Linked DNA regions of Daphnia pulex. The protein of the gene in region 1 binds, or shares a complex with, the protein of each later gene. Links are inferred from orthologs where the notes say so. Each region holds a gene or a part of one and is shown on either strand. Other genes may lie near its edges.

Region 1 (3,645 bases):
CTCTCTACATGTTGATCGGACCGGCCATGTTTTACTTTTTCGTTTGCAAAACCGAAGTTTACAAAATGATTAGGGACCGTGTGGTCAAAATCAAGGAATCTGCTTCACGTGCCACCAGTAATTCGACAAAAATATCTTCGGGCTCCGTGAAGTTCTGGCGCTCACGATCATACCAAACTTCTTCGGATGAATCTCCTGCAATTGAGACCAGCGATTCCAAGCCCTCAAACATTGAGGCAATCAAATATCAACAAAATGGAGAAGACCTTGGAGAAGACAATTTAGCATATACAGGCGAGGTTCATTCAGCCTAAGATTTGGATGGAAAATATGCCAATTAAAGATGCGCGAAAACATACTCGTGGTGATTGGTACAAAAAGTGGTTATTGTGTTGAATAGACTATCATTGAGCTTTCTAGAAATATTGACAAATTTTATATTGCAATCCACTTGATGAAAAATAAATTATGTTTAAGAATAGTTGTCACTTACACTTTTTGAAGGCGTATTTCTCAGAAAATAAAATTTCTTCCACTGAACCACCTAAAATATTTAAAAACAAAAGGGTTGGAACATCCCTTTAATCTCTGGTCAAAAAGGGAAACTAAAAAATCAGGTAAATTAGAGTTAAACGGATACCAAACACGTTGAAATTTGTTTTAAACCAACATTGTAATGGAAATACTGGTGCCGAAAATAGATTACGTTTTACGCATGACTTGTTCAGTAGTTTGCATGTGTTAGATGTCGATTATGCAAAAACCTTTTTTGTATTCTGAAGGACAATTAAAGCAATAATTCATAAAGTTGCTATAACGACAACATCTGTGGTTGAATTTTCAGCCGGGAAATAACTTGCTGTGGCATACAGAATACAGGATTAATAGTTTTAAGACTAGATTCACCGAGAAGAGATAAACCCGCTAAACCAAAGAGGGTGTGAAATGGATCGGGCATGTCATTTGGGCGATCACTAAATCCGCCTGTCTCGACGTCTTGACAGGCCATAATAAATTTTCTCAACTGATTCTTATCAAGCCAATCAACTCGCCCAATAATCCGCAAAGACGCAACTACCCACCAAGAGTAGCAAACATCCGGCAATTTTTCTGGTCGACCATTCAAACCTAAATAACAATTGAGTTACATAGTTTAAGAGACGTCTATTTGAAAGATTTCTAAAAACAAAAGTAATTACCGCCACTCGGCAACTGCCGTTCACATAGCCACCAGCCAAGGCTATCAGCTTTGATCAAATGTAAATGACCTGTAATCGACAGCATACCAACACAGCAATACACTTGACTGAAAAGGTAACCACAAAAAAGAAACAGTATTATTTCTTCCTTTGTAATTATCTCAACTTAGAACTTACCCAGAATGACTTTCAGAGCCAGGTCTGCATCCAAACCCTCCATCAAAATTCATACATGAGATTACAAAATTTACTGCATTATCAATATTAATAGCATCCAGCCTTCCCTGGAGTAAAAATGTGTACAAAAATATGTGTTAATCATAAAAAAATTGCAATCAGTAAATCCACATACCAAAAGAGCCAAGCATGCAACTGCACACATAGAGAACCTTGTATCAACCTCACCCCATTGATCACCACAGAAACTTCCGTCATCATTTTGCAACTTTTTGACATAATTCACAATTTTTTCACAATCGATTGCATCAAGTGCATCATACAGGCACAAAATCTGAAGAAAAAAAATTCAATTTTCAGATGCATATGAAGTGAGTCAACTCTCATTACCAACCTGAACAGCACTCAAAGTGTAGAGAAGGTGAGGATCATGATCTACACTAGCTCCTATACCTCCATTTTCATGCTGGCATTGCTTTATAAATAAAATAATACCATCTCTGTCCATCTCACCAAGTTTGCCCATCAAATCCATTGCTGTTAAACTCCAATAGATTCCATTCATTCTCAAGTACTCTGTCATACAAAATTCATAATCATCCTTATTGTTTCCATATGCTGCCAAGAAACTTGCATGCTTTGGCAGCAACAGATTAGGTATATCAGCCTCCTTCGGTAGCACTATGTCGTTCATGAGAAGGGCCTAGTTCACATGTTCAAATAAACCATTTATCATATCAAAACTGAGACCGGCTTCCTCAAAATAATCATCTAAATATACGTACCATAATTGAAATTATATCTGTTACGCGGGAATGGTTAAGGGGTAGCAAGGGGTAGTGGATAATAGGTTCCAAGCTATCCAAAAATTATGGATTGGTGGATTTTCACTCTTAACAATGAAATTAAAAATTTATTTTGCAAACACAGGCACACAGACCACTTTGACGTAAGTTAAGCAGCATGAGCAGCTGACTGTTAAGGGGCTAGCAGACGGATCTTTTTCGATGCGACAGTAGCGCCATCGAAATTATAAGACATAATGAAGATTTTTAATTTTTTGAAGACACCATTTTTACGTAAATGAAGTCATGATCTCTAGGATAAACAAATTCCAATGAAAAAAAGTCGGTTTATTCAATCGGCAACAGTTTTGGTATGTTTTGTTGTAGAATTCAATAGCCTCTATGTTGTCATCCACAAACCCAATCACATGTGACACGCTAAAGTAAAAGAAAAAAAGAGAATCTGAAAAAGACAATGAAAAAGGCTGAGGAAAAAGGGGGAAAAAAAGGGAAGGAAAAAGACCAAAAAAAGCTAACAATTTTTCACAATAATTTACTCGACTTTGTGGGTGGAAATCATGGGGAAAGAAACGATGCGAAGCTGCGTTCCGTAGTCACAGATGACGTTGTCTCTGACGACCATGACGTTACGAACAAAAGTACTCGAGTCGGCATCGCCAAGACGAACTTCACGGATCGATTCTCCCGTTCGGACATCCCAGACGACCAGGGATCCTTGCCGACTGGTGACAAGTAACCGATCATTGAGCATAGCTAAACTGCCGCACAGAGCCAGACGGGACAAGGAAAGAGAATTGAGCAGATGACCCTGAAATCGCTCCCAAACGCACAGCTTGTCATCGGCGCCCAAGCTGATGACGTACGAGGAGGTGTAAGTCAGGACGGACACGCTACCGTCATGAGCCTGCAAACTGTAGACGCAAGTCCCGCTGGAGAGATCCCACATGCACAGCATTCCGTCTTGACTTCCGCTTCCCGATGCGCTGCAGGGGTAAGCTTCGTCGATAAACATGGCCGTGATGGGTCCGCGATGCCCGTGAAGACAGTAGAGGGCTGTCAAGGTTTCCAGTCGCCAGACTTTGAGGCAATGATCCAGCGAACCCGTAACGACGCGGCTGCCACTAGCCGAAGCGTCCAACACTGAGATGGGCTGTTGGTGAGCTCTAGCCCAGTTGAGCCGGACCAAACGGAAAGCTAATGGAGATGATCGGTCCTCTTCGTCGTACTCGTCGGCGCCACGACGAGAATGAACGTGGTGGCTGACATCTTCCACAGGACTGTCGAAATCGGCGTGAAACTGGAACGACTCCAGGACTCCATTCAATCGGGCAGCTAGAAGATACTCGCCACAAACTTTGAGTTTGGCCACTCCGACACCACTGCCGTCGTCGTAAAGACAACGCAAACCGGAATTATGGCTCCAAATTTCAATGCGTCCGTTGGCACAGCCCAGTGCCACTTGG
Region 2 (3,688 bases), on another chromosome or scaffold:
AGAATCACTATCACTTCTCCTGTTTTGAAGGCAGTCAAGAACAGCCAAATCATTTGGAAGAATTTGAGAGCTGCAAAGACGTGTCACGTCGTCTTTACAAACCGGGTTCGTAGCAATTTTTCCGGTGACATCCAAAGCTCCAACCGAAATAAAAGTTGTTAAGGTCACTAATAGAAAACTAACACCTTGGAATAACATCTTCTATTCCAGTCACTACTTATCAGTTGATTTGAAATTTATTTTTAAGATTGAATTAGAGAACAGTCACATCCCACACTTGGTCAGAATGAACATATTCAGGGACCACAGCAGACGTCAGCCGCGTCACACAGTCTACTGTTTGTTCCGCTTTCGCTATCATCTCTCATCTGTTGCCCAAGAACCTTATAGGTTTCTGCAACCACCTTGTTCAAGTACCGCTTAAAAAAAATCTTCTCAGCGGTTTACGTTTGAATCGGTTTGAGCAACAAAACTATATAAACCACGAACGCGACAAATTGATAAATTGATTAAGAAGAATTTATTTCTTTTACATCGATGGACCTGCGGCACAGATGTAAGCTGTGAAATGAAATCATAGAGACGACAATCCATGCAACGTCAGCGAAATACCTAACATTAGCGTCACAATCATTTACGATATGATACATTTATGAGAAACAGAAAATGAGTGCTGTCGCATAACGGGAACAGAGTGGGACAGAAAAGTTCACAGCAATTATTGGGCACCCTTCAAAAATTAAAAATGAATTTATAACTGTACCATATGTCTTTCAATTTCAACTCATTCAGGAATGTGAATTATGACCATCTTCAAAAAATAAAGTAATAGTACCATTCCAAGAATGTGATCAAATAAACATTTCTTGAGAACTTATCCAAAATTGCAACATGAATTTGTTTTTCTAGCTGTTTTATAGAACATTTTTGATGCATCACTCAGTCCTTGAGATTTTGATACAAGGTCATCCAGTTTTTCACCCCTTTGCAATACAGCTTCAATTGTGTTATGCTATGACAATCAAACATGACTGGTTAAAAAAAAATTAAAACAGATTGAAACTTTAAGACTTAAATTACCAAAATAATCTTAGTCTCATCTAGTTCATCTTGAACTTTAGTTAGAGCATCTGCTTCTCTGGGATTTTGATATTTTGCCAAAGATGCTTCTAATCCAGAATAAGCTGCACAGGCAGCATTTGCTTCTATCCAAAGAGATGATTCCACCCGAGCAGCAAAATCATCAAGCACCTTTTGTAATTAAGAATATCTCATCATTTCAATTCAACCAACATACAAGTAGCACTCACTTTGGTTAACAAGGTATGAGCAACCCTCTGTGGGTATTCATGATCTGCCGTCAAAACACAGCAGAGTCCATCTGCTCTCACATAAATGTGACACATATACTCTGCAATAAAGAAATAACATTTAATTTATAATGTACATTGAGTTTTATGATGACTCTTTGCATACATACCTCCTTGTTTCACCGATTGTCTGGACGCAGCACTTGTCCTTTCAGTCAAGATCTTGGCAGTGAAAGCCATAAATTCTTGAACGCTGCTTCGTTGAAAAAATCCAAAACTTGAGAGGTCGTAAGCCGCTCTAAGTAGCTGTGGTGACCCTTGCTCGCTGCGATGTAAAATCGCTAAAGAATACAGCTTCACCATTTTTCTAGATTTGACTAGTAAATATAAGATCCTCCAACAATCGTCTTACTGATAAGTGGAGAGGCCTTTGTTAATTAGTACTAAAGGTTCAAGTGGACGGCTTGAGTTTTTCCTCAGAAGCGGTTAAATCCGATCCGATAGAAGTCTGCAAAAAGTGACAACCAACAAGAGAAAAAGTTCAATAAAACAACGGGAATGGCCGAAGAACCCATTTGTTGCATCGGAATACACCGCCTCTAGCGGATAAACGTAAAATAAGCTGTTTCCCCGCGCTAATTTGGCGCTAATCAGATTGCTAAATTGAATTATAGTTAATTGCAAGAAAGTAAACACTTTTTTAGTAGAATTAATAATAATTTGAGAAATAAAACATTTGGTTTCAATGTAAATTTCAATACAAAAAACACAAAATTTTACAAAAATCTTTGGGGCAAAATCACACCAACAGAAGAGGCTTCATCGTCACTTTTTTAATAACATACTGACATTGCTAGCGCTAGTCGGACGACATACCTCTGTTCTGTTGTTTTTCGAAGAACGAAATACCGAAAATGTCATCAAATCTTCAACTGTTACTAGAAATGGGATTTTCTGAACAGTTAGCGTAAGTTTTAATTCCAAATAATTCATACCTTTTATATTTTTTAAATGGCAACTTAATATTTTGTTATATTTCTTTGAAATTTGAAAAGTGAAAAGGCTATTAAAGAAACTGGAGACCAAAATATTGAAGCTGCAATGGATTGGTTGATTGTGAACAGTGAGAAATTCAATCAACAAACTGACAACAATCAAGAAATGAAAGAGGAAGAACCAAATGCTGCTGCTCAACCTGAAGCATCAAATGCTGAAATGGCTGCTGTTACTGCCAAATCTATTAAATGTGATGAGTAAGTATGGAACTCAAGTCAACCATTGAATTTCTTACATATGTTTTTTAAAATTTCCTCTAGATGTAATAGACTATTTCGCACAAATGAAGAGGTAGAATTTCATGCTGCGAAAACCGGTCACAGCCAGTTTTCAGAATCTACTGATGAAAAGAAGCCTCTCACTGAAGAAGAAAAGAAGGAACAACTGAGGAAAGTGGAGGAGTTGATGAAGTTGAAGCGCAAAGAACGTGAAGAGAAAGAAAAGGCCGAACAACTGGAGCAAGAAAAAAGAAGAATACAGTCAGGCAAGGAGCTTCTCAATATAAAAAAGAAATTCGAAGAGGATGAAATAAGAAAGATTGCCGAAGAACGGAGGCGCGAAAAAGAAGAAGAGAAAAAAGCCAGACAGCGAGTGAAAGAACAAATTGAACAAGATAAATTGGCACGAAAACAGAAAGCCGGTGACGCAACCAATACGCCATATGTAGCTCCTCCAGTTCAGGCTCCGGCTCCGGCACCGACAACACCCAATCAGCCCAAGGACTATAAGGAGACGAAAATCCAAATAAGGTTATAAATCATTCTGGATGACGCAAGTCCCTCTTCCATAACTCTTTATTATTTCTTCCAGACTTCCAAATGGATCGACAATGACGCAAACATTTGGTGCTAAGGAGCAGCTAGCTTCAGTTCGTCTCTTCATTCAAATGAATAGGACCGATGTAAATGCCGGAGTGCCGGAACCATTTCGGATTCAAACAAATTTTCCTAGAAAAGTATTTACCGAAGAAGAGTTCGAGAAGCCACTCGATGTGCTAGGATTAGTTCCAAGTGCTGTTTTGATGGTATCAAAAGCATGAGAATTATAAAAGACTGAAAAACGAATTTTTTTATCTCATCTTGAGATTTAATTTGTATTTGTATCTGATAACAAAGTCGAGCGAGTGAAAGAGTGTGTTGGGGGAGAAAGAGGCGGGTTTCAGAAATAATTACACATAAGATTGTAAGAGTCACGAAGTTACTTAATTTTTTTTCTCATCTTTTGAAATTTGATGTTTGCACGATTTGATAGATACCTACACCTGTTTCTCATCACCTTCGAATGATTGTTTTATTATTCCTACTAACAAATCGCGTATCACC

What was found.
Region 2: the proteins of geranylgeranyl transferase type-2 subunit beta-like (region 1) and synaptobrevin homolog YKT6-like are in contact, whole or in part, in a crystal structure (PDB 6J7F), measured with the Homo sapiens proteins. The link is inferred for Daphnia pulex from reciprocal best matches to the Homo sapiens genes RABGGTB and YKT6. Residues at the interface, in NP_004573.2 of Homo sapiens: Thr3, Pro4, Gln5, Lys6, Asp7, Ile9, Lys11, Tyr37, Leu45, Trp52, Leu236, Asp238, Cys240, Arg281, Gly283, Asp284, Met285, Asp287, Phe289, His290; in NP_006546.1 of Homo sapiens: Lys60, Gln62, Asp63, Leu65, Asn83, Glu84, Tyr85, Pro86, Ser87, Leu153, Asn155, Thr156, Glu158, Arg189, Lys190, Cys194, Cys195.

The regions. Positions count from the first base shown.
Region 1 is NC_060019.1:10,894,447-10,898,091, forward strand, and holds geranylgeranyl transferase type-2 subunit beta-like, read right to left. Parts: upstream 2,383-3,645; 5' UTR 2,165-2,382; coding exon 2,162-2,164; intron 2,080-2,161; coding exon 1,771-2,079; intron 1,711-1,770; coding exon 1,552-1,710; intron 1,484-1,551; coding exon 1,377-1,483; intron 1,307-1,376; coding exon 1,200-1,306; intron 1,129-1,199; coding exon 812-1,128; 3' UTR 753-811; downstream 1-752. Other genes in the region: uncharacterized protein LOC124191180, read left to right, coding at 1-314; sterol regulatory element-binding protein cleavage-activating protein-like, read right to left, coding at 2,715-3,645. UniProt on the Homo sapiens protein: Catalyzes the transfer of a geranylgeranyl moiety from geranylgeranyl diphosphate to both cysteines of Rab proteins with the C-terminal sequence -XXCC, -XCXC and -CCXX, such as RAB1A, RAB3A, RAB5A and RAB7A.
Region 2 is NC_060026.1:12,911,485-12,915,172, forward strand, and holds synaptobrevin homolog YKT6-like, read right to left. Parts: upstream 1,898-3,688; 5' UTR 1,674-1,897; coding exon 1,481-1,673; intron 1,412-1,480; coding exon 1,311-1,411; intron 1,252-1,310; coding exon 1,081-1,251; intron 1,013-1,080; coding exon 875-1,012; 3' UTR 502-874; downstream 1-501. Other genes in the region: Golgi apparatus protein 1-like, read right to left, coding at 1-198; UBX domain-containing protein 1-B-like, read left to right, coding at 2,225-2,277, 2,366-2,563, 2,627-3,115, 3,177-3,405. UniProt on the Homo sapiens protein: Vesicular soluble NSF attachment protein receptor (v-SNARE) mediating vesicle docking and fusion to a specific acceptor cellular compartment. Functions in endoplasmic reticulum to Golgi transport; as part of a SNARE complex composed of GOSR1, GOSR2 and STX5.